Linked DNA regions of Mus musculus: all the other regions are reported to be linked to region 7. The links are microRNA targets in miRTarBase. Many come from high-throughput screens and were not tested one by one. Region 7 holds a microRNA gene; each other region holds the end of a gene's coding sequence.

What was found. The annotated mature microRNA mmu-miR-882 reads AGGAGAGAGUUAGCGCAUUAGU and lies in region 7 at 1,175-1,196, shown strand. An mRNA with a match to its seed (bases 2 to 7 or 8) in the 3' UTR can be bound and repressed. Matches are read on the target gene's strand: a 7mer-m8 pairs with bases 2 to 8, a 7mer-A1 pairs with bases 2 to 7 and ends in A, and an 8mer does both.
Region 1: the mRNA of Dkk1 is a reported target of mmu-miR-882. Seed matches in the 3' UTR shown: 7mer-m8 at 2,709-2,715 and 7mer-m8 at 2,632-2,638.
Region 2: miRTarBase lists Thada as a target of mmu-miR-882. Seed matches in the 3' UTR shown: 7mer-m8 at 3,483-3,489 and 7mer-m8 at 2,794-2,800.
Region 3: the mRNA of Atp2b2 is a reported target of mmu-miR-882. Seed matches in the 3' UTR shown: 7mer-m8 at 1,546-1,552 and 7mer-A1 at 1,276-1,282.
Region 4: miRTarBase lists Rgs20 as a target of mmu-miR-882. Seed matches in the 3' UTR shown: 7mer-m8 at 808-814, 7mer-m8 at 832-838, 7mer-m8 at 850-856 and 7mer-m8 at 864-870.
Region 5: miRTarBase lists BC048403 as a target of mmu-miR-882. Seed matches in the 3' UTR shown: 7mer-m8 at 688-694.
Region 6: the mRNA of Ddr2 is a reported target of mmu-miR-882. Seed matches in the 3' UTR shown: 7mer-m8 at 2,733-2,739.

The regions. Positions count from the first base shown.
Region 1 is chr19:30,543,956-30,548,020 of GRCm38, forward strand. It overlaps Dkk1 (dickkopf WNT signaling pathway inhibitor 1), which reads right to left. Exons shown (of 4, transcript NM_010051.3): 3 at 3,608-3,757; 4 at 1,921-3,483. The coding sequence ends at 3,230. Among named protein-coding and RNA genes, the nearest start is that of Dkk1, 3.5 kb to the right of the region's middle.
Region 2 is chr17:84,188,138-84,192,204 of GRCm38, forward strand. It overlaps Thada (thyroid adenoma associated), which reads right to left. Exons shown (of 38, transcript NM_183021.3): 38 at 1,919-4,067. The coding sequence ends at 3,814. Gm36279 (a long non-coding RNA gene) reads left to right here and starts at 4,051. Exons shown (of 4, transcript XR_385852.4): 1 at 4,051-4,067.
Region 3 is chr6:113,745,093-113,749,159 of GRCm38, forward strand. It overlaps Atp2b2 (ATPase, Ca++ transporting, plasma membrane 2), which reads right to left. Exons shown (of 20, transcript NM_001036684.3): 20 at 1-3,756. The coding sequence ends at 3,445. Among named protein-coding and RNA genes, the nearest start is that of Sec13, 6.4 kb to the left of the region's middle.
Region 4 is chr1:4,906,670-4,910,736 of GRCm38, reverse strand. Rgs20 (regulator of G-protein signaling 20) reads left to right here. Exons shown (of 5, transcript NM_021374.5): 5 at 75-1,161. The coding sequence ends at 263. Among named protein-coding and RNA genes, the nearest start is that of Tcea1, 51 kb to the right of the region's middle.
Region 5 is chr10:121,750,807-121,754,869 of GRCm38, forward strand. BC048403 (cDNA sequence BC048403) reads left to right here. Exons shown (of 3, transcript NM_173022.3): 3 at 1-2,059. The coding sequence ends at 313. Among named protein-coding and RNA genes, the nearest start is that of BC048403, 13 kb to the left of the region's middle.
Region 6 is chr1:169,974,562-169,978,628 of GRCm38, forward strand. Ddr2 (discoidin domain receptor family, member 2) reads right to left here. Exons shown (of 17, transcript NM_022563.2): 17 at 1-3,428. The coding sequence ends at 3,294. Among named protein-coding and RNA genes, the nearest start is that of 3110045C21Rik, 7.2 kb to the left of the region's middle.
Region 7 is chr12:109,681,033-109,685,099 of GRCm38, forward strand. It overlaps Mir882 (microRNA 882), which reads left to right and starts at 1,165; the gene lies at 1,165-1,241. AF357341 (a small nucleolar RNA gene) reads left to right here and starts at 487; the gene lies at 487-561. Gm22981 (a small nucleolar RNA gene) reads left to right here and starts at 1,352; the gene lies at 1,352-1,425. It overlaps Gm25856 (a small nucleolar RNA gene), which reads left to right and starts at 1,962; the gene lies at 1,962-2,036. It also overlaps Gm23787.

The DNA of each region.
Region 1 (4,065 bases), not on the chromosome of region 7:
GGGAGAGACTGGAGGGAGGAAAGGAAAGGATGGAATGATGTAACTATATTATAACGTTAAAAATAAGAAATAATTTTAAAAAGAGGAAACACATTTCAAGTCTTCCAGCTGAACATGAGATAGAGGTGAGGGACTTGTATAACCACTTTGATATAAAAGAGGTTAACCTTCTCCTAGTAGGAGAGACTGATGCTTACTGTAAAAAGTTTAAGTAAAGCTTCTATCCCACCCTTCCTCCCTTCAACAAATTTTCCTAAGAGTTTATCACCACAGAAATCAGAATCTACTGTGGCTACTGTGGCCATGCCAGACTTTGAGTAGGTAGAAAAAGCACGGCATTTGATTTGAAATTTTGTGTCAAAACTCAACTATACTATGATTAAAACAGGAGGATTTTATGCCTGTGGCACAATAGTTATTAAAGTCACTCTGGAAACCACCTGATTGTCTCTTGGTACCTGGTTGAGTAAATCAGAGAGCCTCTACCTAATGCAAGCCACTCACAGGTTGAGTCGCCCACTCTTTGTTGTGTAGGACAGTAGTCAAGACACTCAAAGCAGAGAGAGCAAGGTGCGAGGCAGTGTGTAACCTATGGAAGCTTAAAATGGTAAATTAGCTGGTGAAATATTCTCATGGGGAAGAAGTCAGATACATTGTTTAGGGGTCAACCATCACAAAGCATTTGAACCAGCTATCACAAACAAGTTCTAGATCCCCTAAGATCCCATCTAACGATTGTGTGGTATATAATGTCCCTCTTCTAATTTTTCAATTAAAAAGTTCCTACGGTTTTGATTTTTTCATCTTCATATATATATATGTATATATAATATATGCAATATACATTATGCACATATATGCAATATATTATACATATATATACCATATACTATATTATATTCTACAAAACATATACAATATATAATATAAATTTATATTCTATATATTCGTAGATTTCCTTTTCTTGGTACTGACCTCCTAAGATCCCGTTTAACGATTGTGTGGTATATAATGTCCCTCTTCTAATTTTTCAATTAAAAAGTTCCTATGGTTTTGATTTTTCATCTTCATATATATATATGTATTTATAATATATGCAATATATTATGCGTATATATGCAATATATTATACACATATATACTATATACTATATTATATTCTACAAAACATATACAACATATAGTATAAATTTATATTCTATATATTCGTAGATTTCCTTTTCTTGGTACTGACCTCCTAAGATCCCAGGTAGATGGAGGTTAACTGACCAGTCTCTCTGGCCTCAACCTGAGGGTCACCAGGAGAGGCTGAAACTTAACATGCTCAGTGAGATGTACAGAAAAAGGTATCCGCACTCCAGCAGGCCCCTGCATAGAGGATCCAGTAACCAGAGTGCAGCAAGCATCTGCCCTACTCCTCTCCTAGAAAGCCCTTCTTCCTCCTGTTTTACAAAAATGTCCCCTTGACCTTTCCTCTTATTGGGTACTCCTGAAGATGGCAGGCCTCGAGATCCACCCTCCTAGAACAAGAGGCAATGAACACACTTAGAGAGTTTCTCTGGATGAAGAAGCAGAGACCTGTGAACAAAAGGGCCACAGCCACTGAAGTCCTGCCAGAGTTCCTCTCTGAGAGCCCCAGTCGGAGTGCATACGCGGTTGCATGTCTCCCTTGAAAATTAACCACTTCCGGGAACACAGAAACAGATGAATATTCTAGGCCAGCTATGCTATTTAAGGAAAATGTTGGGACAATCAGTCAGTCCCGACTATCCTGTGAATAGTGAACCCAGCATTTTGTGGTTTTGATGCAGACTTCCAGAATACTAGAGAATAAATAAATTAGGAAGGTTGTTTTGTCCTGCCCCGCAAAGAAATATGAAATTTAGTGAGAAAACATGCAGAGAGAATTCAATTCGGGGATTTTTTTTTTTAATAAAGCCATTCTCATTCCAATCAATGGAGTACAGGTGAAGCAAAAAATGAAATAATTTCTTGGCAAGAGAAGTGTTACATTCTAGAATTTATGATTGTTTAGTAATTATTTTTTAAATCAAAGTGATTGAAACAATTCTTCAGCATGTCAGAGGATCTAAAATATTCAGAATTAATTATTTGGCTTAAGTTGGCAGGCTTCCTTCTGCATAATCTCTTCTGAATTCTGCCCATCATCTGGAATCACTTGCTTGGGCATTCCCTCCCTTCCAATAACTGTTGGTCACTTAGGTGAATATTAATTGGTTGTTAACTACTTTTGGTTGATGTTTTTTTTGAAACTGAACATTGTTCTATAGAAAGAGTTGGCCAGAATGGACCTGAGTTCATGGGCATCCCTCTGCCTCAGCCTCCAAAATCCTGGGATTATAGGCAAAAGCACCAACCACACTTGTTAGAAGTTTTGAAGGTAGTTATACCAAATTCAAGCCCATATTACCAAAGCCATTTGAGTTTTATCAATGTAGATACATTCTCTTTAAACTAACTCACACACAGACAATATATCTTATCATTTTAACCCCCCCTCTCTCTCACACACACACAGAGCCCCAAATGTATCTATACTTCTAACTTAATGATTATTAAATGTTAAATTTTATTTCAAGGACTACCAGCTGAGAGAGACAGAACTAGAGAGGAGAGATGTGTGTGTGTGTGTGTGTGTGTGTGTGTGTGTGTGTGAGAGAGAGAGAGAGAGAGAGAGAGAGAGAGAGGGAGAGAGAGAGAGAGAGAATCTAAGCAGAGAGCACATCTCAGGAAATAAACTGATACTTTCATGTTAAATTTTAGATGCCTATCACCGACTATTCCATTTCTCCTTACATTCGACCCCCTAGACATTGAAGCAGAAAGGGTTACACATTTAAGAACTGTAAACCAAAATTACTTCAATATAGAATATTTATGAGTCAAGACAATCAACCGTGTACAAAAAAAATTTACATGCAAGAGAAACAAGGCAATGTAGCACACCTCTAGAAAAATAATTAAAAGTTTTGCTGCATTTACAGGTAAGTGCCACACTGAGGATTTACAACACAGTAATTTACTGCAATCACAGGGGAGTTCCATCAAGAAACAAAGTCCTTACACTCCAGAGCTTTTGGAAGGTATTGTCGGAATGCTTAATTACACACTGAAGATTCCTACATCCTTGGGATTGAGCTGACAAATCATAAAGGATTTTCGTAGCATATATTAGATAAAAAGAGTCCATCATATTTAGACTGTCGGTTTAGTGTCTCTGGCAGGTGTGGAGCCTAGAAGAATTGCTGGCTTGATGGTGATCTTTCTGTATCCTGCAAGCCAGGCCTTCCCCGCAGTAACAGCGCTGGAATATCTCCAGCCCGTGGGAGCCTTTCCGTTTGTGCTTGGTGCACACCTGACCTTCTTTAAGGACAGGTTTACAGATCTTGGACCAGAAGTGTCTTGCACAACACAGCCCTGCGGCACAGTCTGATGATCGGAGGCAGACGGAGCCTTCTTGTCCTGTGAAGGAGACAGAAGGAAAATTACAGTTACTGCGAGGCCTGTACCATCCCACTGAGACAATTCTAAATGCACTTCTGATATATTAAATGGGAAAGGCTGAGCCTGAAAGCCCCTTTACTACCTTTGGTGTGATATATTTTTGAAGTCAGTGTGGTTCTTCTGGGATATCCATCCCCCGCGGCGGCGTTGTGGTCATTACCAAGGTTTTCAATGATGCTTTCCTCAATTTCCCCTCGAGGAAAATGGCTGTGGTCAGAGGGCATGCATATTCCTAAGAAAACCAGAAATAGTGATTAATCCTCAGGCTGTAGTTTGTTGCTGCTAATAGCCAAGACAGGAGCAGTGGGTTATACAGACACCACTGTGAGTTACCTCACTGCTGTTGCTGCCTTTCTATTTACCAAAACTCCCCAGAGAAAGCAGTATCAATGAGTGTACTGTCGAATCGTATGGAACGCCTCAGGTATAGCCATTTTAAATGCTTTCCTACTAATTGTAGTGGAGGCAGTAGAGACTTTTCTGTCTATTTTAATATTACCCTTTGGGCTAGGAAAAAGAAATCCAGTCACTTAAAAGAAA
Region 2 (4,067 bases), not on the chromosome of region 7:
GAGGAGAGGGGAGGGGAGGGGCGGGCAGCCTGGGCGTCCCGAGCGGCGTGGGGCGTGCGGCCCCCTTGGGTCCTGCTGGGTGGCGGCGGCGGGAATACCTCGCTCTCCTCCGCCTCTACGAGTATAACGTTGGAAAGCACGTACACGTTCTATCTGCCCAGGACGGGGCTACCCGGGACGTGCCTTTCCTCGCCCGATCCGGCTGGGCCGACTGGCGCAGCTTTTATCTCCCATCCTAGTTTTTGCTCCGCGCGCGGGAACAGCAAAACAGCAATGGTGCGCTTGGCCAAGTTGCTTGGGACTAGGAACGGGGGTCGCGGCCTGTCCCGTAGGTGGCAGCTCCGGCCCGGCTGCACGTGGAGACGCAGTAGGGGTGGGGGCGGGAGCGGCCAGCCTGGAGGAGCATTGGCGCGTTTCTCCGCCCCTCTCCCCGCCCAGGCTCAGTAAACAGGACTTGAGCGCTGCGGCCTGTGGGGCAGAGCCGAGTGTCTGAGGACAAGGCGCTGGCTTTGCTAATCACATCACAAGACCTTGAGCCTGGGCCAAAGGCGCCGAGTGGCGCGGGGTGTCCGGGGCGGGAAAGCCTATTCCAGGGGACTAGAGGGAAGTCGGAGGAGCAGTGTGGACATAGAGGAAGTCACTTCCTTCACCTTTGTGCCTGCTGGTTGGCCTGGCCTCCTCTCGGGGATGTGGGTGCAGCTCCTAGCCAAGGCTTCCCGCCTGTACAGCCTTGGCCTGTCGAATCCTGCAACCTTCCTCCTTCTGCTGTGGGAGGCGCGGCATTGAATCTAAGCTTTGTGTGAGCTGCCGGAGGCGAGGCGGTGATTGCTGAACCACCACCCAGGTTGGGGGAAAGAGGTCCTCATTCGGTTGCCTTTAGTGCAACTCCTACCAGCTTTCCATGGAAAAAGCAGTCCCAGAAGGCCCCTGGCTCTTTTTGAGAGGGGTCTCACACACACACACCTCCACACACCTAGCGACCCCCACCCCCACCCCGTGAGGCCCATCTGGTCAGGTCCAGAACCCTTTATCCCTACACTTCATACTGGCTGCCAAAAGCTGGAGTTGGGCCCATGAATTCACCCAGCTGGCAGTCCGGGTTGCCCTGGGTGGAAGGCCCAGTAGTTGCCAGAGAAGGCTGCTTGACCAACTACATCCTTCCCATGTTGCTCTTCCTGTCTGGTTGACCCAGTCCAGTGTGCACTTGGGCTGTATCAGTTAACCTTGAAGCTAAGGAGGTAGATCTGTCACTCAAAGGCTCCTGAGTCCAGGTGCATTTGGCCACACTGCAGTGCATGCTGCCCCTGTAGGTAGAGCCAATGGCTGCCAGAAGACTGTAGTGTCTTGGACGTAGTGCTGAGTGGGTTGGGTACGGTGGTTCATGCCTATAGTCCTAGCACTAATCACAAACTGTGGTGAGTTTTAGGCTAGCCTTGCACAGCTTAGTGTGAGAGTGAGACCATACCCCTATAAAGGAACAAAGCCCTCACCATCTTATATATTAAAGCAAACTGGCTTTTGGCTGTGGTCTGAGCAAGGGGCCACCCAGATCTTAGGACCCTCAAGTGTAGTGACTTAGGGAAGATGGCTGCTTCACTCTTCCCACCCACGTTGCTCTTGCCCCTATTACTGCTGGGTTCTGTGGCTGAAAGGACCCCAAATGTAAGCATGAGGCTGTGACTAAGGTTTTCCTGGTTTCTCTCAGGAAAGCATGCAGCAGTCGTTCCCCTAGCTACTGCTAGCAGGATTGCAGATACAAGCCCACCTGTGGAGCCATCCATCCCTCCTGTCCTCCCAGATTGGCCACAGCCAGCCAAGATCCAAGTCTGGGGTAAGTCCCAGCTAATGGCAGACTTGGTAGGATGGACTTGGAGATAACATAAGCCTGCTCTGAAACATGCTTTGGGACAGCATGCCTGCCAATGTGAGATGGTTTTATTGTCATGTAACTGCTTTTATTTCATTTTAGATGGAAGGGGAGAGGGAAGGTTGGGTCCTGTTCAGAATTAATCTCCCAAGGTTGTCACCACCAGCCCCTCTCACCAACTAGATCTTAAAGTAGTGTAATGCTGGGTATAGTGGTGTATGCCTGGAATCCTGGCACTCAGGAGGCAAAGGCAGGAGGATTAACACAAGTTTGAGGCCAGCCTAGTGTAAATAGCAAGCCTGACTCAGAAAACTAAAAGCAAAGCCCAAAACAAACTAAACAATGTTAGGTTTTCAATTTTTCATCAGCAGTGGGTTGCACTGCCTAACTAGGTAATTACTACAGGGCCACACAGACCCCAGGGTGCTGAGTGTTTCTAAGACCACCCAGGGGATTTCTGTTCCTCTTCATGGCCAGGAAGGACACAGCTCCTGACTTCCCTCTCCCTGCGTACAGGTCTCTACTCCAGCACAGCCGTGTTTCTGTGGTGCAGGATGGTTTTCTTCTGAGACCAATTACATGTGAAATGTCAGCGTCTCTGCAGGAGGAGCTAGCATATAGAATGCCTCTCTCCCTTTTCCTCATGATTCTAAGTGACTACTCACTGAGAAGTATCTGAACATAGCTATAGGCCCTACAAGTTCCTTCTATGGCTGGCATGGTCTTTGTGGATAACTGGGAATGTGGATCACACTACAGCAACACATCCACGCCGTGAATTGAAGGCAAGCGTCTGCGGGTGTCACGTACTCTGGAAGCACACGTAGCATGGTAAGCTGGGCCACATGATGCGGCTCAGTGGATAAACGTGCGTGCTCTGCAAGCCTGAGCCTGAGTCGATCTCTGAAGCCCATGCAGAGGCGGGAGGAGAGAGCTGGCTCTATAAAGTTGTCCCTCAACTTCCTCAGACATCCATGCTGGGGCATGGGTGCCCTCCTATCATGTACAGGTGCTGATAATAGTTTTAAAAAGTTTTAAAAGAGTAGGCTAAAAGCGCTAGACCAGCAGCATAATGTGTGCAAGAGCGCCACCTGCTGGTGTTCGAGGATGCCAGCTGGGCTGGGCCTGAAGTGACAAACCCTTCCGGTTTCTATATGGAATCACCTAAAGTGGGTAAATGTGTTTCTTGGCACTCTGCTGTCTCCACCAATCACAGGACGGTGTACAGTGGTGGCACCGAATGAATTAAGCATTTGCTCAGGCTTCCCTTTCCCCAGGCTCTGTCCAATAGCTGAGGCCAGTGATGGGTGACAAGGGTTCCTAGCCTTCGCAGGCATTTCTGGGTAAGACAGTGGGGACTCTTAATATGGACCACTGAAGGACTTGGGCAGGTAGATAGTAAAATGCAAGTATTTGCATGTTGTAGGTTCTTAATATTCCCAGAATCAAACATACCCTTTACTAAAATGGAATAAAAGTTTATAAATATGACCAAATAGGTATTTGCTAAACAAAACCAAACAAAAGAGCACTGTGTGTGTGTGTGTGTGTGAGAGAGAGAGAAAGAGCACTGTGTGTGTGTGTGTGTGTGAGAGAGAGAGAGAGAGAGAGAGAGGGAGAGAGAGAGAGACATGTAAGCTAAGACTGAATTCAATGCAGTCAGTGTATGGGGAAATGGGCGCTGGCTTTGGGATAGAACTGACTAGTTCAGGCCTGCAGGTGGCTTGCACCTGGAGACAGTAAACCTGCAGACAGCAGCTTCACTTCCTAGGTAGCTGCAACTAATTGGGTTGCCTTGAATGAGTGTGCTGCAGACAAGGTCCTCAGTAGGAAGGGACAGAAGCCTAGACTCCCAGAAGTGGGGAGGCACCTGAGGAAAAGAGTTTCAATTGGTGTCCACCATGTATGTGTCTTGCAGACCTGAGCTGAGGCCCAGCCACCTTTCTTCAGCATGCTGCTTCTGTTCTTGGGGCCATTACTTGTCTCCATTCCCTAGGGCAGTCTTCGGCTCTGAGACCCTCCTTTCCTTCCAGGCAGGCCAACAGCCTCAGGACAGCCAAAGTCCTTTCCTCCTGAATGCGCAGCCTCGTGTATTCCACTGTCTTCAAAAACTCAGCTGAGAGTGGAAGTTCTCTGAAGAGCTGAGAGATGAGGTGACTCTGCTCTGATGCTATCCTTTGCAAGTGACAGAGCTTCTGGG
Region 3 (4,067 bases), not on the chromosome of region 7:
CAGATAAGGGAGTGAAAGAGAAATTCTAGAGTTGGACTGAAGTCTGTGTAAAAAATTAGGAGAAGGCAAAGGTGGCTTTTCAACAGGCATGGGGACACAGTGGTTCTTTATTAACCAGAGGACCCAGGATAGGATGGGCTCTGGCTTGGGAGCAGCCAGTGCCACATCCACTCTCAGAAATAGGGCACCTCCCTCCAGTCAGCTCTGCTGTGGTTGGGTTGAGGATAGGAGAGCATGGGTGGGTGGAGACATGGAGGCTGCTCCTCAATCCTGGATAGCTGGGAGCAGCAAGTTGAGCCTCTCCCTATCCCTCCACAGATGGGTGACTCTGAAGTAGCCAGAGCCAAAGTTCAGGTCCCCTGCTGGATGCTCACCTGTGTTTTCTCAGTTATCTGACAGGCTAGGGGATTGATGCACTTACAGAATGCAGAGGACAGGAAAGAAGGGGGTGGGGGCCACGCTAGAAAAGAGTAGAGATTTCCTATTTCTGCTTGATTTTTTTTTAAATACCATAGACACATCAGAAACACCTATGTGAGCCAGAAGAGCCAGCCATGGAAAACATAACCATTGCATAGTATTAAATGAGCAGAGACGGTGAATTCTTTATTTACAATTATTGTCTAGATAAAAAAATTCATAAAAACAGATGAATGGTCATAAATTATTGACCCCCTAATGGGGTGAACTGCCAAACGTATCCCATGCTGCTAGATATAGGACGCAGAAGTGCAAGCTTGTGTATTACAGTGAGTTCTGACAAACCAACCATCTCCTGTGTAGGTGTGTGTGTGTATGGAAGAGTGTGAGAGTGAGGGGCTGGGGCATAGGCTATCTCTCATTCCTGACACCGGGAAGCCAGCACTAATGTCAGGCCTCCTTGCTAGTTTCCTCTGCTCCTGTCTGAGAACCTGGCTCTGCTCAGAGAACCCCTTCCTCTTTGCCCTGGAGGCCTGGTTCCAAAGCCCGAGGACCCCGGTTTGTTAAGAGCAAGAACCCTGGTGGCATGGAATGAGGTCATAGATGCATGGTTGAATGAAGGAGGGCAGGATGAAAAATGTGACAAAGGACTCCCCACCAAAAGTCCCAAACCAATCAAACAACAACAGCAGCAGCAGCAACAACAACAACAACAACAACAAAACCAAACCAAAAACCTATCCTGTTCCAAGGCAGCCCCGGGTTTCCTTCCCTCCCTTGGAGGGGTACTATGGACTGGCTCTGGTGGTGTCTGTACTGGAATCCAGTGAGTACATCTAGGGCTGGTCCACCTGCTGGAGAGGTAGCTCTCTCTCTCTCCTGGATACAATCAGAATCCTTCAGAGATATTCTTCCTTATAGAAAGATTATGGCCAGGTGGGATGGGCAGACTTTGAAGCCCAAACCAAGAACTCAAGTTTTTCACAGCCATCCAGACGTGGGCCCTCCCAGCTGACTATGGCTCTTTTCCCAAGTGGCTGTCATCTTGTTTAGTGAAGAGGTCTCTGGGCCTGGAGGAGGGCTGGGGGGCCAGGCTGAAGAGCGAGGAGGAGCGATTGTGAGGAGGGAGAGAGTGAAGGATGGAGTTCACAAGTGAGGCGGAAAGTGTTTGATTTCCTCGAAGCACGGGACATCATCGGTCATGGTATTCAAAATGTCTTTTGCACTGTACAAGTTTATGGAAAAAGATTGTATGCTGAAAAGTCTCAAAGCAAACTTTGTATTAAATACAAAAGTTCTTTTATGAAAAAAAGCTGAGACCCACAAAGTGCTTAGCAGTAAGAGGCCGACAGACAAGCTCTTATTAAGTGGGATAACTAGTGCTGTTATTGTTGGGAGAGGGGATAGCCACCTTTTCTCACCTGTGATATGGGAAGATATCAGAATGGCTTTCTGTCTGGGAAAGCAGGACTTGCTGTTAAAAGGCTACAGTATATATTGTAACTACAGGAAGACAATTTGGTTTAAAAATCACACTGAATACATCTCAATGTACACATTATAAGGTTCATTCGGATCTAAATAGTGCAGAGAAAAAAGGCTATTCTTCTTCAAAAAGAAAAAAAAAAAAAACAAAAGCAGCAAGCCGTACCAACCCTCATCCAGTATGTCAGCAGTGTCTATGCTGCCGTTTATAAGAAAAGAAACTTCTAAATTACTAACTAAAAAAAAAAAAAAATTCAACACAATAGCATTTGTAATATCTGAACACTACCTTGACTCACAGACAGTGCCAAAGACAACTCAGTTCTGAAATGCTCTCTGTAAACTCAAGCGAGTTTCATTGAGAGAAAAGTCTTCCTTCTCCGGGTGCACTACAGACGTTGACGTCACCAGACCTGGACGGCCGTGTTGCAAACCCAGGAAGCCTTCTCTCCTCTTCTCCCTTGTCTACGGTGGAGTGAGCGAGCGCGTTGCTTAGCTCCTCAGGGTGGATCCTTGGGAGCCGTTGGCTTTCTGCCTGAGCTTCCCACAGTAGTGACATTATTGAACGGAAATAGCAGGCAAAAATCAGAGCATGGCTATCGTAAAACTTCAAGGATGCAATCCAGGGGATGTGTCTGTTGGGCCCGAGCTGTTTGTAAGCATCTTGGCCACCAGTGTCCTTAAACCACACAAATAGCCAAAGACATTATCTACAGGTTTGTAAACAAATTACATTCTTCTTTTAGGACATAAGTTAAAATAGAGCAATTTAAGCAGAAACAAGGCAACATGCCGGCAAAGGAACTTTATATATCCATGTATATATATGTATATATATATATATATAATATCTACTTATCTATACGCACGTATACAGTCTTCAAGAAGTATACGTTGATATAGATACAAAGAAACGGATATAACCTCGTGAGTGTCTGTGGAGTTCTTGGGTTTCATTGGTGCAAACCTACTCTGTGATTTCAAAAAGTTATTAAATTAATCTAGACATTTGAGACCATGCTGGGCAAGCATTTGAAACCTCATAGACCAGTGGACTGAACGAACAGTAGTCTCTGTTCCAGTTCCTGTTTGCAGTTCCCGCCTAAGGAAACAAACAAAAAACTCCCCTCCCTAGCCCTCCAAGAACCAAATGAGGGAGGGGATTAATAGTGTCCAGGTACATTCATGCTGGGGCCACGGTGGCCGGCGGGTGCATGGCTGGTCCGTGTCTGGGCTGGAGCCTGGAAAGGCTCTTTTTTTTTTTAATTAATTCGTTATTATTATTTTTTATGTTTTGGAGAAAAAAAAATCCACGCCACTCTCTGCTCCAGATGACCCCAGGGCAACCCCGCCCAAGGCCTAAGGAGTGAAAAAGAGTTCAAACAGCATGGCTGCCAGAGAAAGGTCTGGTTCCCTCTCTGCTGTGTGGGTTCCGCCCAGTGCTCCTTGCTGTGTCGGGGAGTTGGTGCCTGGAAGGGTGTGCGCCTGGAGGCGGGTGGCGGCGGGTCCATGAGCGTGGCCAGGCGACAGGGGCCTCAGCTAAAGCGACGTCTCCAGGCTGTGGATGGGGCTCCCTGGACTTGAAGAGGTAGCTGATTTGCTCGTGTCGGTCGTCAGGTTGATCCCGCTGTCGATGGCGCTATTGTTCTTGTTGAGCGAGGACGGCGGGCTCGAGTTCTGCTTGAGCGCGGCATCTTCTTCCAGGTCGGTGTCATCGATGAGGGGGATGTGGGGCTGGGAATCTTCGATCCGGAATTCAGGATGAGCCATGAAGTTATGGATGGAGGTTCGAGACTCGGGTTTTTCTAACCCTTCATAGAGAGAGCTACGGAACGCCTTCACGACGCGGATCTGCAAGGGAAACACTTTGGTCAGGAGTGGGCTGAGCCCTTCTGGGGACTTGGAGGAGGGTTGGGGGAGGGGAGGGCACGCAGGCGGCTGGGATCCACAGTCGTTGGTGTTATGAGCATCGATGGGGACGGAGGGCAGAGGGCTTGGGGGATGCATCCATGAGTTGGTTTTTAAGTGGCTTTGGTTTGGGTCAGAACTATGGTGTTAGTGGGGACTATAAAAGCACCACCACAGAGATGCTTGGGGTAGTTGTAAACAGGAGCATGGTCCACTCCGAAGGGCACCCGACCTAGTGAGAGACTGAGCCTTGT
Region 4 (4,067 bases), not on the chromosome of region 7:
CTTTTGAATGACAAAATGACTCGGGGAATTTGGATGAATTTACAACCAGAAATAATTGCTGCTTCTCTCCACAGGTCAGCTTGGACTCCCGAGTACGAGAGGTTATCAACAGAAACATGGTGGATCCATCCCAGCACATATTCGATGACGCTCAACTGCAGATCTACACTCTAATGCACAGAGACTCCTATCCCCGCTTCATGAACTCCACAGTCTATAAGGATTTGCTTACGTCCTTAGCTGAGAAAACAGTTGAAGCATAGGTGGTTTCAAATATATTTATTATTAACAAAACAAGAAAATAACTCATGGACTACAGCTAGCACAGGGAATTTAGCGATAGGGTGTCTTGTGCTACAGTGATTCTTGGACTGTTGTAATAACAGATTCCTCCTCCACAGAAAGCTATAGATTCACAATGGAAACTACAACTGCCTTTAGTGATACTTATCAGAAAAAAAGGGGTGGGGGGTATGAGAAAAAAGGGGTGGGGGTAAGGCTGCCTTAGAAAGATAGTGTGCTCACATTCACATAACAGTAGCATGTTCTCAAGGGCAGAGCATGTACTAGTCTCTGTTCTGCCTGCAGCACAGATGTACAAAGAGCAAATGGGAACACTTTCTTTTGCATGAGTTCAATACTGTATTACCCTCCAAAGAAACGGCATTCAAATCTTCCTCAACTAAGCCTTCCTTCATTCTGAATACTTCACTTGGTACCATGCTAGGACTGAGAGTCATATTTCACAAAGATGTGACTATTCCTTGTAAAAAATGGAAAATCTCTCTCTCTCTCTCTCTCTCTCTCTCTCTCCCTCTCTCTCTCTCTCTCTCTCTCCCTCTCTCTCTCTCTCTCCCCCTCTCTCTCTCCCTCTTTCCCTCCCTCCCTCTGTGCATGCATGCATCCAAGTGTGTGTGTGTGTGTGTGTGTGTGTGTGTGTGTGTGTGTGTGTGTGTGTGTACATACGTACGTGTATCTGTTATGGTTGGTGGAACAAACCATGCTCTTGGTGGGTCACTCTCAGACATTTAGTAAGGAAAACAACACTTAAGTGAAAGGGTGACTGTATTATCAGAATCTATCAAGCTGAAGAGTGAATTTTGAAGTCCAAAGCTTGTCATGTTCACAATTTCTCAAATAAACATATTTTAATTTTTAATGAAAGATATGTGGATATTTTCATCCTGAAAACAACAAGAGTTTTCTCTCAATCTTGTATTATTTTATCTGGCATTTCTGAGGAACACAGATCATGTAGGGATGCATGCAATCCATTTTTCACCATCCAGATGAGTGTTCTGTCTTTAGATTCCAAGATATTATGTTAATCACAGCAAATAGGATGACTTCATAGTTTACAGGTAAAAGTAGTTATAGACCTAAGCCACACTGAACAATCCCATGTCTACAACAAATGGGAAATATAACACACTGGACAGATTTCAGGTTAGACACTTAATTTACAGAGAACACACCAGCTCCAACCTTGTAGAGAAGTCTTGGCCTCCCTTTTGCCTGGTCCTGCATCAGCCTCATTGGCTTTGTTACTCAGCTCAACCCCAAATAAGACTCCTTTCCCTCATTCTCAACAAACCATCTCACCTCTAACTTTTCATGAAGCTTGTCCCTCACCCCTTACTCTGTGTATGAACCCATGAATACACACATCCCAGCATCCCTCCTCACCTCCTTCAACTCATCTCAGAGAATAATGAGCTTTGTACTTTTCATGGTGCCAGTCTCTTGCATATGGTTCTGATCCCATTTTATTCAACCATTATTTTCACTGAACAGAGGCCATAACTGCGATTCTCCAATGGGTTACGTGCCAATGGTACCTACAATGTATTGTTATAAGACCTAGAATGGAGCAAACCCAGCGCAAAGAATTTTAAGGGTTATATAAAGATTTCAGCAGAAGTTCCACCAGAGTTTAACTCTATAGAACAAGACTGTATATGTCCTGCCAATAGTTACTATAGGTGAAGAGGCTATTTGAGTGACTCCAAATGATACAGTTAAGGACATGTAAAGTATAAGGTAATTGTAAGACATATATAAGGATACTCATTTGTGTAGAGGGACCTGCATGGCCAAGAGTCTAGGCTTGGAGCTAAGTGTAGTTGCACATACCTGCATTTCTGGCACACAGGAAGCTGGAGCAGGATTTTGAATTTGAAGCTGAGATGAACTATTCAGAAAGAATCTGCATTAACAATTACAGCATAGATTCTAATATGGAGGACTGGTTTTCAGCACAGACAGTTTAGAATCCTTGGGGAGGTAAAGCATGAAGACTGCTGACAAGCCCTTGTGTGCATGGGCAGAGAGCTGAGTCTCAAAGAAGGCTTAGAAGGATTTGCCTTGTAAGAGGGAAGAAAGAACATGCAGATATGGCATAAGAACAGATGTTTCAAGGAGAGGGAAAGTAGCATTTCCTAGGGATAAGGCAACGTCTACTTATCTAAGCTTGGTCTGCTCTCCCACACTGTAAGCTTGCTCTATTTCATGCATAAGAACAAGCCTATATCTGTTAGCACAGTTAGCACTCTTTCAGTAGGCTTTCACAGCATCCCCCTACTGCCTCCACCCCATCTCCCTATTCATACTCAAACAGAAAGGTGCTCTGACTGTTCTAGTAGGGCATCTGTGGCCCTAGAGCACATCATTTCCAACCTTATCCTCCTATCATGGGTGATTTCTTCCTGGAAACCCTACTCCCATCTCTTCTATGGGTCCTCCTAGCTCTGTGTACTCCCTGAATTCTTCTCCATTCCTCTTTCAATAGTAGAACAAGTAGACAAAGCACAGGGGTTCCCCAGCCAGAGTTACCCCAACTCCATAAGCATGCCAGTAGATGAGAATAGTAAGTAACATTCTTTGGGCATGTCTTCTTGGTAGCACTGTGGGGTAATAATAGCACTGTGTGAGGATTTAGAACACACTCATGTAGATTACAGAAAATACTTACAACATGATAATCACTGCTATCACCTGTCTATTGAGAGTACTTGCTCCTGAAATTTGGATTTGGCTTACTTTTCCCTAGTGTCCCTCCTATATACTTAAAATGTACTGAATATCTACCAGTCAGGGTCTGGTCTGAAATCCCTCCTGAATTTTAGTCAACTTCTGTCTGGACATCTGGTATATCTCACAAATGAGGGATACTCAGCTTGTCTTAATCTTGACCTTCACCCTCTAAGCTTACCTCACATAATCCAGTCAGTTTTTTAAGTGTTCAGCTGGTGCTCACTTGGATTTTCTCTTCTTGTGTATTCTTCCCAAGGCTGGTCATTTCTCACTTCTCTTTTTTTCTCTTTCCTTCTCTGACCCGGCACATCTCACTTTATGACTGTTAAGAAGAGCCCCCACACAGCCAGTGGTGGCCCACACCTTTAATCCCAGGATACAGGAGTCAGAGGCATCTCTGTGAGTTTGAGGCTATGTTACAACTCAGATGGAAAGCTAGGAGTTGAAAGCCAATGAATACTGAAGAGGTCCATTAGAGCAGTTAGTGTTCTACGGGTGAAATGTGGAAGTTGGAAGTCTTCAGGGGGGAGTTTAAGTATTGCATATCTGAAGGCAGTCAGGAGCCAAGGATTACCACAAAGTCACACCACACAACAAACCTCACATAAGAGATTTATTGGGAGGGAGAAACTTAGGAGGGCAGCTGCCTCTGATTGGGTGAGAAGACAGCAGGGAACTGAGCAGTAGGCAGAACTTATATAGGATTTCTAGGAGGTGGAACTTTCCAGGGCAGAGCTTTCCAGGATAAGGATTGGTGGGGTTTCAAGTCCTGAGCTTGGGGGAGCTCAGGGATTGGTGGATTGTCCTCTTCAAAGATTGGTGGGATTTTTTTTTTCTTTTAAGGTGGGACCTGGCCACTCTACTGCCTCAGGGCTGGAAATGACAGTTACAGCTTTTAGAAAAGGACTCTTGGTGCTTTGAGGGATGTCTTGGGGGCAGGTTCGGGTTGCTGGAGTTCCAAGGCAGGGCCTGGCCACTTTCCTGCCTTGAGGGTTTACAAGGTTTATAAAGGGAGTCCATGTCAGGGAAAGTTT
Region 5 (4,063 bases), not on the chromosome of region 7:
AGTGGACCAGTACCCAGCCGTGGTGTCTCTGCCCAGTGACAGGCCCGTCATGCACTGGCCCAATGTTATCATGATCATGACAGACCGAGCATCTGACCTGAACAGCTTGGAGAAAGTGGTCCACTTCTACGACGACAAAGTCCAGAGCACCTACTTCCTGACCCGCCCGGAACCCCACTTCACCATCGTCGTCATTTTTGAGTCAAAGAAATCTGAGAGAGACTCCCATTTTATTTCCTTCCTCAACGAGCTCTCGCTTGCCCTTAAGAACCCCAAAGTGTTTGCAAGTCTGAAGCCTGGATCCAAAGGTTAGCAGGCGCTTGCCCAAGTTTTTCCAAGATTGGATACATTGTTCTTAGTTGAGTAGTTTGTGATTTGAATTTATATTAGCTCACGCTTATTTCTGGGCAGAGCTAAAGACAGAACCTCCCTAATCATGTTGCACAGTTCATAAGGACGGAGTCTCCAAGGAGTCGTCTGGAAGAGCCATGGTGACTGAACCACCGTGGTACAGCGAAGGCGAATCAGCATTTTCTGATTTCCCTGTATTTCATGTCAATTGAATATTTGTTGGTTTCTCATTTATCTTTCCAGATTTTTTTTGTTGTTGCTATTCTGACCATTGTGCCCCAGTGTGCTTCCTAGCATCTCTCTCTCTCTCTCTCTCTCTCTCTCTCTCTCTCTCTCTCTCTCCCTCCCTCCCTCCCTCCCTCCTTCCGTCTCCCCCCCACCCCAGCCACAGGGAGAGATGGGATTGTTTTCAGTTTCACAAACACTAGTATTAATAGTTTTACAAAATGATCTAATTAGTATTATACTGTAATTAGAATCTTGGTGAGAAATTTCTGTCAGGAGGTGAAGTGGGAGATGACAATTGATACTGGTCCTTACAGCAGTACAACCATCCACAGGTCCTTTTCAGGTGACCCTCAGCTCCATCCGCATCAGTCTTTACCTTTAAAGGGTTTGGTAGTCACCTGTCCCAAGTCAGCCCAAGCCATGGTTCAGTGTGGAAAGCACTCAGCCATGTGCTTTAACCAAGTGTTTTAGTTTCTCACACATTGCAGTTCATTTTTATAAAATCAAAATGACGGACTTAATACTTTGTGCTTGCTCCATAGTCAGGGCATCCGGTGAGGCCCCAGCACCTCTGGGCGTGGTCTCTTGCCTTCTGGAGATGATTGACGTGCATGCAGAAGCAGCTTCTCGGCACTGCTTCTCGGCACTGGCTGCTCTGGCCTCCTGCGAGTTCACAGGGGAGCGGATGGAGAGAGACCACGGAAGCATTGAGCTGTTACTGCTGCGTTTGTCCCCTGGAGCTCCTGTAAACGTTAGAGTCAGATCAAGGCTTTCCTCGGGCTTGTATGGAGCCACTGTCTGATGGGGTGTCCACAGAGCATGAGGCTCATGCAGGGCCGGGGAGCCCCTCCCAGGCCTCCTGGTCAAGTGGGGTCCAGCTGTACAAGGGTTCACTGGCCAATTATCTGCATCTCCCCACTTTCACACAAACTTAAGCCAGTTGTCTTTAAACAGGTGATAGTGATTGACTCTGCATTTTCTCCAGGCTCTATACAAATAGGAACAAATGTTGACCTTACATTGAAAAATTGGAAACACTTGGAATTAAAAACCAAACCATTTTTCTTCTTTTTGTGTTTTGCTGAGAAACTGAAAAAATAATCCTTGGTATGTATTTTTTTGTTTTTTTTTCCACCATTAGCCTTAATGATGTCGTTCCCAGTACCTAAAAGAATATATAGGCTTCAGTAAACCATGGAGGGATGTATATAAAACACATATATAAATATATATTACTTAAAATGGCCAAATGTATATATATATATATATTTGAATTGTATATTTATTTTTAAACATATTTTGAGTAATCTAAGAGGTATTTACAAAGAACAGGAGGCAGATGTGAATATTAAGAAAATCTATGGCAACATAAACTTAAGTCCCTATGCACTGCCAGGATTGGAGGAACCTCGAAGATTAGTACTGACTCTAATCACTTCTCAAGCTCCTCAATAAAGTTTTATATATATAATTACATATATACATGTATATATGGTTTTTTTCTGGTCAAGCAAATTGCATTGTGTGCATATGAATGTTGTGGGGTTCTTCTCCAAGAGCCTCCTGAAACTGGAGGGCTGGGTTGCGGGGTCTCTGTGTGTCCCCTACAACACGTTGTTACCTTTAGACTCAGGTGCCCTGAGGGGCTGGACAACCATAGCACAGCACAAAGGGTAGACAGCTCGCTTGGGAACGGAGGCCAAACTGAACTCATTCTGTGGACAGGCCCGGGCTTCTCAGGTTTGGCGGGGCCTGTGTCCTGAGGGCTGGCCTCACTGCCTCCTCTGCTTTTTCTAGCTCCCCCGACCCCCTTTATTAAAAACAAAAATATTTATGTGAGTACACACTGTTGCTGTCTTCAGACACCCCAGAAGAGGGCATCTGATCCCATTACAGGCGGTTGTGAGCCACCATGTGGTTGCTGGGAATTGAATCAGCAACTCTGGAAGAACAGTCAGTGCTCTTAACCACTGAGCTCCAGCTGTTTCTCCAGCTGCACTTTTTTTTTTCTTCGCCAAGCTTATCTGCTTCTGCAGAGCCAGCCCTTCGACCTTTTTTTTTGACAGCTCTCTCCGTTAGTTTTGCATCTGCATCCCTTCCTCTTCCTCCCAGGTAGGTCTGAAGTCTTGTAACATTCCTGGCCACCGAGCAGCACAGGCCCCACTCCAGAAGGCAGCTAGAAAATCATTGGAGGTAAAAACTCCACATAGGTCACAGTGACCATAGGGAGGATACAGGCCTTCAGGGAGACAGCAGTGACATATACACACAAATATAAGATGCCCATATTTTGGCTCAAGTCAAGAAAGGAAAAGAGAAGAAAAGAAAAAGAAAAAAAAAAGGATTTGCTCCCTGGATGCAAGGTTGGCATCTTCAGTGCCCACTTTGCTGATCGGAGTGGAAACGGACACATTTCTTGTGGACCGACTAATGTGACTTTTATATCTAAGCCACAACCTGTTGGGTTCTGGGTGACTGGAAGTGTAGCCAACCCCCTTAAAATGTGCTCTATTTTAACGATGCTGCTTGGGTAGTGGATGTTGCATGATGTTTGATCCGGTTGTGAATCCCTAGATTGTGAACTGGAAAAATTTTGTGGGGCGGCTCAGCCTTAGCTCACGACCACCCATAATGAGATCTGACACCCTCTCCTGGTGTGTCCGAAAACAGCTACAGTGTACTTACATATTACAATAAATAAATCTTAAAAAATAAAGACCAAAAAACAAGTGGATGAATCCTTAACAGCTTTGTCCTCTATGAGACCCAGCCTGGTATATCTATGTCATTCCAAGGAGTGTGTTAAAATGAAGCTAGACTGTTAACTGAGCAACTAAGACCCTTTGTACACTGGAAAAATTTCCGTTCAAGAAGGAAATGGGACTTCCCCTGCCCTCCCTAAGGTGATCTTTAACTTCTGTCTGCCTTTCACTCTCATAGGCAGCTTGGTGGGTCCATTACTTTGGCTTGTCAGCTTCGAAGAGCGGGAGCTTTGTAAAGTGGGGTTGAGCAAACATGGGCTGCCTTTCTCATGGGTTAGAGTGGGGCGGTGTGTGTGTGTGTGTGTGTGTGTGACACTTTGTTGCAAAAGGACTGGAAAGCTGTACAAATAGAAGGTGAGCCACACTTCCCTGACTTAAATGCAAATTCTCATGTTCTCTTCTTTCAAGTCCAGGGAACCCCCAAGCTTTTATGAGAAGGGCAGTTGAATGCCTAAGGACACACCCAGCTTTCAAGTCTCCGTGGCTCCTTGTTCCTAGCTTTTATAGTTAGATGAGATAGTGTCATTTCAGATCTGTGCCACTGGGCTCTTACTGGGCTGCCCTGTCAAAAAGAAAGAGATGTGTTCGAACTGTCACCTGTGACTGTGTCCTTCTCCCTACAGAGGTTGTATGGCAGAGGTTACAAAGTAGCGATGTTCTAATTACAGTCTCTGTGTTTATTAGCCAGAATATATATCTACAGAGACCCCCATCTTCAGTTA
Region 6 (4,067 bases), not on the chromosome of region 7:
GTCTAGAACCCACAGGAGAGCGAAATGCCTTCTGTACCCACTTCCTGAGATGAATAGGTGACTCCCTAATGGTTCTGGTGGCCACATGTTTCTATATCCATGAAGACCATGTCCTTCTTCAACTCTACAAAAATCCCTTGCATTACCTACGGTGTACCTGACATCGATTTACTAAAGACAGGCTCCTTCACCCAGCATTTCTCCTTTACCTACCCTCCATTCTTCCCAAGTCACTTTTTCTAACCTCTCTCAGATCTCTTGGCATGCATCAGCGTTGACTTCATGGCCTCCAGCCAACCCTGTCTCTACCACGTTTGACTTGCCTCACCCCATATCTTCCCCAGAACCTCTCCTTGCCTCTTTTCACTGTGCCTTCTTTCTTATTTTCTACCCATCCTCTCCTTCCAGCCACACACACACATTCATGTAACAACTTAAAAAAAAAAAACACTACTCACATACTTGCATACAGCCCTCTTTTGTATTACAGTTTTGAGCGTTCACAGACAATCTTTCCACAGCTCCAACAATGCATGCTCTCCTCTGGGCACTCATTTCCACTCCAGGTCACATATGTGACATGGTTACACATTTATCTGGTCACCAGATCAAGATTTGAACATAGATCAATGACAGGACCCATGCCTAGCAAATGTGAGTTCTGGGTATGATCCCCAATAATAAAAACATAAATGGACCTGGTTAATGTATGCATTCATCAATAAAGGTATAAATTGAAATATGATAGTCTAAAGGACATCTTGACATAAATGGTTCACATATATCGTGATCACGAGTTACTTGGGGAAATAACAAGATCCCACAGTTTCTCATCTGTTTCTGCTTTCTTTTCCAAAACCTACCTTCATTTCCCTAGTTTAGATTTGAGCTACCTGTCTACAGAGTAAGTCTTTACCTTCTACCATGGTTGGCTACTCAGACCTGTACTGCTAAACTCTACTAGTGTAACTAGAAACTAAACCTGTGTCTGTAATACAAAGGTTTCAGTGCCAGAAGGTGGAACCTTCTTCATACCAAAAACAAAGTGCCTGTACATGAAGATACATATTTGATAGCCATCTGGGATAGATTAGTTCCATAAAGCAAAGTCCTGGAAATTTCATTTGTAAAGGAATACAGTGAACTGGGGGCAGAATCCTGAAGAGTATATAGTCAAGAGTTGTGAAAGAAACATGTCTGGCCCTAGAACTATCAAATGAGATAACGTGAAGCAGCACTGGTCACTCTAAAGCAGATATAATGCAGGTGTTGCTCTTACTTAAATGATGTCTCTCGGGATCACTATTACTGGCCACAATTGTCTGAGCAGTAACTGAACCTACATCAACCACAAATCTAGTTCTCCAGCAAGCACAAAACAAAGCAAAACTCCAAGAGATTCCTAAATCATAGATTCGGTTTTCCTTTGAGACAGATAAGAAAACAAATTCAGAGAGAAGCAAGACTTGGGAAAATGACATACTTGGCTTGAGGCAGCACAGGGCCAGAGTTCCCAATCCAATGTTCTCTCCTACCTCTGGGATCGAAGTTAGTCTTGCTGAGAATGGTAGAAAAGCCATGGGAGAGGAGGTAAATGTGCTGTGAGCGAATGGGATCTATGAAATTAATGTCAAGACTTAGAGTTATACATCTGCTGTGTCCTGTAGCCATGCTGAAGGCTGAACCAAGAAGCTCTCAGGTTTCTAAGAGACCATGGAGCAAGCTGACTGGATAGACAGAAGCAGATCACCACTATTTTACCTCAGCTTGGTTTCCTCTATAGGATTTAAGGGTTTTGTAGTGTAGATTGCTGCTGAATCTTAGAGTCTGTGAAGGATGAAAACTTAGGGTCACTAAGTTAGTCACTAAGGTGACTCCTGCTTGATCATGCATCAGTTCTCGTGAATCCCAAAGCCAGAAAAGAACTTCATGCTTTGCCGCTGGCCACCCTCTCTTTGGCAAAAGCACTTTCAGTAACACCAAATGGTCATCCTTTTATTATCCCATACATATATACCCAGTAGTCAACAACCTCTTCCCTGCAGAGTTCTTCAGCTAGTATCTGAAACTTTTCGGAGATGAGAGATTCCCCATCTCTGGGAAAACCCCCACCTGCATATGTTCTATTTCCATATTTTCCCAAAAGTGGAAATCAGTCTTCCTATAACTTTTTCCAGGGGTCTTGGCCAAACTTTTGGAAACACTCTAAACATATCTCTTGTATATTGGACATGACATTGGATACTTGTGCCTGAGAAGTTGAAGCCCTAGTCTATAAATCCCACAAAGGCATCACATAGTGAAAGATATAGAACTGGACAAGAGGAACTGATGGAGCAACCATTAAAATATCAAAACTTGAGGCTTTACAGAGTAAAGTCAAGTTGTCACTAGAACACACAGGTGAAGACCCTCACAGATGAACAACAAATAGTACACTTGCGAGTCATCCTCCGAGGACCTTCTTTCCTATGACCATGGTCTACCGGGAAGCTTGTGCAATCTTTCCCTTTCTGTGTCCTACTTCAAGCCTTACAACAGACATTTCTTTCTATCCATATGCCCTGTTTCATGGGTAGGCTCTGATCTCTGGCCATGATTGAAGAAAACATTCATTCCAAGACACAAGATAGAGGTTTTTAAGTACATGCCACTCACTTTGACGAGAGAGAGAGAGAGAGAGAGAGAGAGAGAGAGAGAGAGAGAGAGAGAGAGAGAGAGAGAGAGAGAGAGGAGAGAGACAGAGACAGAGACAGAGACAGAGAGATCTGAGAGTCACGTCCAAATCAGAAAATCATCCATTTGTTGTGGAATGCCAAGTCCTGCAATTCTTCATTACCTCTAAGTATTTTCCTTAAGCCTAATCTCATGTTTCTCAAGACATTCATATTCTTCAAGTTTTTCTTTCTAAAGGTATTTTACAGAAAGTGACACGGAAAAATATTGTAGGATCTGCACACTTATAAACAGAAGCATAACCTTTATAAATTATCTGAGTTTCTAGTCTTCATTATCTAACCATTTGGTATATCAAGTAACATTTCTTTTACTAATATCTGCTCTATATTTTTTTTTCTTCTTTTAGTTATTTCATGTAAAAAAGTATATATGAGTCAATAGTAGGGAGCAGGGAGGTGTAGTGGAGGAGGCAAGGGACAGAGAGGGCAGAGTGACTAATTCTCTGTCTCTCGGGTCCATTGAATGTCCAGCTGGAGTGGCTTAGATGTGGGTGAGCAGTAGGTCTTGTGGGAAGGATCTGGGCCACAGGAACACTGCCAGGTGCTGATGCATCATCACTCGGCTCCTTGCTGAAGAAGCAGGAGGTGTATTTCCTGGAAGGATGGCCGGTGCTTGGTTTCTCTTCTCCAGCAGCTGAGCATCAGCTTATACACAGAGTCGGGGCAAAGGGCTGGTTGAGGGAGATAGATCTATGGGAACAAACATTTTAAAAGAGAGAAAAATATATATTAAGGGGCAGGAAGAGAATGGACTGTAACATAGCTCTATGTGTACCCTCGCCACTTTACTGAACTTAGCAAAAGACACGGGTGTTGTGTCTATTCTCCCATCACACAAAGCTCATCAACCCCTTTCTTATTACCTTCTTCTATTCTAGTCCTCTCAAGCAGTATTTCACGAGGACCCTGCCTTCCTACTAAAGGTTCCACCAATGCCAAAAGAACTCAGATCTGCCGTCAATGAGGGTGAATCTTGTCTGAGCCAATATGACAGAAATAAAGCACACTTGTAGCTTCTGCTAAAGAATTTGAGGTTTTATTGCAATTTTATTGGAATAATATTCAGCCAGATGTATAAATTGGGAGGAAGGCTGTATCCTAGCAATACTCACCATTGTTCTCCATGTTCCCCTCTCTGTATTGTTCTCATTTAGAAGAGATTGGATTGCATTAACAGGTATAATTATGATGCCATAATTCCAGCCTAGGATGCTACTCTGAAGTTTCCAGTTACCATTTCCACAAGCAAGATGCTATTTTACTAACTGCCAGTCCATCTCCCGCATTCTATATTTTTACTATCATCTCCTTACCTATACATTTTAATAC
Region 7 (4,067 bases):
CAGAGGGGCCCTGAAAATCTACTTGGATGAGCTGGAATTCCACAACCACTCCCTTAGAGATAAAGCTGACAAGACAGTGCCCTTGAAATGTAGGAATCCTGGGTCAAACTTGGGAGCATGTCTCAATAGTTCTATTTTTTCTCTACCTTCCAACATCCAGAGAGCTGACCCAAGTGATATGAGAAGTTTGCTGTGATGGACAGTTTCTGGGTGCTTTGCCAACAATCCAGAGTACATGGTGACATGTCAACTCCAGCTGTGATCCTCCTGTGTGGCACTGACTTACAGGTATGGAGGGTCTCTTCATAAAATGGGTGTCAGGCAGACTATGGAGAGAAAGTGTTAATTTCATGCTAGCTTGCGGACCAGGCAGTGTCAAGCCCCCCCACAGCACAGGATAGCCTCCTACAGTGTGGTCTCTTGAGTGTACCACAGTAGCCAAGGAATGAGCCATTCCTGAAGCCTCAAGAGAGAGGAGCCCAACCCAGGACCTATGATGAGATCTGGTGGCATCTGACTGTATCTCGATGACAGCCATGAGAACAGATGTCTGAGGTCAGGCACAGAGCAACTTCAGCTGTGTGCCTTGTGGTGCTAACTAATAGCCTGAGATCGAGGAAAGCGGGATCATTTGTGTCACCTTTGCTCCTTAAACTGATCAGTTTCCATTAGGCAAGGACTTCCAGAGAAGCAACGTCGGGTTATAGTTGGTAGGACCATGACCTAGGGCTTGGTGGGGAGCAGCATGGCTTGGGAGATCTAAGAGGCATGTTGATAGATTGGGGAGATGATAGGCTGACCCCATGGAGGACTCCTTAGCCTCTTCTTGGTCCAATCCTTTTTTCTGGCCCCTGGTGAGAAATTAGTCTCTCCTGGGAAAAAAGTTTCAGTGCAAAGTAGGCCCAGCTCATGACCATTGGCTCCGTAAATGGGGAGGACATGGGGTGGTGGCCCACAGAGTCTCAACACTGACTCTCTCCTCTCTGCCCTGTACCCTGCAGAAATGGCGACCCAACAGATGGTACCAGCATGCTGAGATATAGAACCACCCTTGTATCACCACTGTGACATCTCAGAGCTTTGCCGACCAAGAGGCAACATCTTGATCTTCCTTGCCCACCAGCTTGCAGGTACGTTTAGTGGCAGGAAACTGTGTCTTCCTTACAGCAGTACCAGGAGAGAGTTAGCGCATTAGTGCAATAGTTAGTCCTGATTTCTGGGTTTTTCTAATGGCTGCTCTTCAGGGGCTGCCACACAGAATGTTCTAGTACCCTGTGATCAGAGCTCTGCCCTCAGCACCCACTAAGCAATTAAGGTGTGCAGTTGGCTAGGGAGAGAGGGAGCCCCATCCAGGACCGATGATGAGATCTGGTGGCGTTTGAGTGATACTCCATGAACGCCAAGTATCCAGAAATCTGATGCCTTGCTAAGAGCTAAGCTCTGGATGGAGGCCCATAGGTCTATGCCCGTCCCTTGTGGACCTGTGGTGTGAGGTGAGGGCTTGATTGCTCTTTGATCATGTAGCTTGAAATATTCCCATGGAATTTCGTCAGAGGAGCCTTAAGGCCACACCCACTTTTTTTTTTTTTTTTTTTTTGAGAGAAAGCCTACAAGATAGCATGCTTGAAATGCAGCAATTTTGGGACAATGTAGGGACAGCGTCTCAATTTTCCTTTCCTTTTTCTGCCTTCTTCCCTCCAGGAAGGTGACTCTAGTGATGGTAGAGTTATGGATAATGGACAATTCCTGGGATGCCATGGCAACAGTCCACAGCCCATGGTGACTTGTCAACTCCAGCTCTGTTCCTTCTGTGCGCACCTGCTTATAGGTATGGAGATTTAATCAAAGCATCGGTGATCAAGCAGATATGGGTAGAAAGTGTTAACTTAGTGCTAGCTTGTGGATCACACAGTGTGATGCCACACTTACCAAGAATGAGTCAATTCTGAGAGAGGGGAACCCAGAACAATGATGAGATCTGGTGGCATCTGAATTTTTCTTGATGGCATCCATGTCAAGAGAAATCTGAAGTCAGGTACAGAGCCACTTGAGCTGAACTGCCCTCCATTGTAAGTTCCATTAGCAAGGAAACATGGCTGACAGGTAGTCGAAGTTGGTTTAAATTGTGCAGAACCACAACCTTGCATGGGGACCTCACAAAGGGCATGTTGAGAAATAGGTGTACTGAGATGCTGACCCTAAGCAGCATGCCAGAGCATAGAGGGGACCCAGCTCTTTTTTCCTTCAAGTGGAAAGAAATTAGTCTTTTCTGGGAAGAAAATGTACAGGTACAGCTCAGGCAAAGCCCATCAGCCTGAGTGACGTCACCGTGGAGAACATGGCATGGTGACCCACAGTCTCAACACTCTCTGTCCCTTTTCTCCCCTGTTTTCCTCAGAAAGGCTGACCTGGTGATGGTGAACCACCACCCCAAGTCTGCATGTCACAAATCAGCATCTCTCTCTCCTATGGAGTCTGGTTCTAGGTCTTGACAGGTATTCGTTATCAAATCAGTCAAGTGAACTATCATTGATAAGATTCATTAAGTTCATTAAAAGGGGGCAGTACACCCAGTTTCATAGAGTGAATCTCTGCTTGTGTGTCCTGTGAATTGTCTTTTTTTTTTTTTTAATGGCTTACTAACAGGTCTTTCTCATTTTCCACAGAGGCTGATTGACTGATGTCATTGCAAAAGTTTCCTGTCATAGAGAGTTCCTCTGATGTCCCTTCAGCACCACTACAACTGGTATTCACTTTAGTTTCACATTTCGGGCAGATCATGGTAAAACCCCATGGTCATATCACATAGTTCTTGTGCACGTGGCATGTGTAAGATCAATCATACAGCAATAGCTTTTAACTTCAAAATTGAAACCAAGCACAGTCCAGCTGCCACAGAGGTTTTCAATTTCTTTTCTATTTCGTATTAACCTTATAGTCTCCATTTTTTCCTCAGAAAATTTATGTTATATATGTTAAAATCATTTTTAGCATATCACAACCTATGCATATTAGAGTTTGTTTCCATATTGTGATTCATATTTATAATTGTTAGGTTCTTCTAAACTTGAAGCCACAATCACATATTACTGTACTTGGCTTGGATTGTCCATGATAATGACATTGAGAAAGTCTGTCACGTGTCCAGGGTCGTGTGCCACTCACTAATCTTTTACAGCATACATTCTATGAGTAGTGAGTGACCCTCAAACATTAAAACAGAAACTTCATATGAGTCAACACAGCTGCCCCTGGGAAAAGGTGGAAGGAAAATAATATGGTTGACCACCACATTAGTTATAAGTCCCTACCACCCTGTCCTGAGTCGGGTCTGTGTGGAGCAACTCCTTACTCTTTATTCTTTTATTAATGATAATGCAAACATTACATCCTATAGCCGAAGTTTACGTTCTGGAGTACATAAGGAATCATTCATATTATTTAGTCATGAGTTAGATATATGGCTCTGTAAGTCAAAGCTGAAAGCTGTTGCTCTTTTATCTGCTTTTAAAAGTCATTTAACAAATGCTTTGTTTTGTTTTGTTTGTTGTTCCCCACATCGCGCCTCTGAGAGCTGACTGCAGGATTTCCTATGTTTAATGACTGCCTCAAGGTAAACATGGGTAAAAGCCATACATTTTGTCGATGTTTTGGTTATTATGGCTGTAACTTTACAAAGCATGAAATAGAATCCTACAGGTCTACTCTTACTTTGTCTTTTGGGGTGAAGATGGGCTTGTGTCCTGAGTAAATACGATGTCTGAAGATGGTTCATAGCACTTTCTTCATAGCGCTGTGAATACTACAGTCTGAATATATCAGAGAGCTGTGCTCCTGTTGAATATTTGTGTATCACCAGCATTGCTAGTGAATTATTGGCTTAGCCAGTAAATAGTATCTATGAGAACGAGGAAAGGTCAAGCCATTTCTGGACCAATGATGATAGTTACCAAGGTATGAGAGAGATGACGAATAACACTTGTCTGAAGCTCAGAGGTCCAACCCAAAAGATAGGTAGATAATCAAAGGTCCTTGAAGGACAATGGCATTTTTTTTTTCTTTTGTGC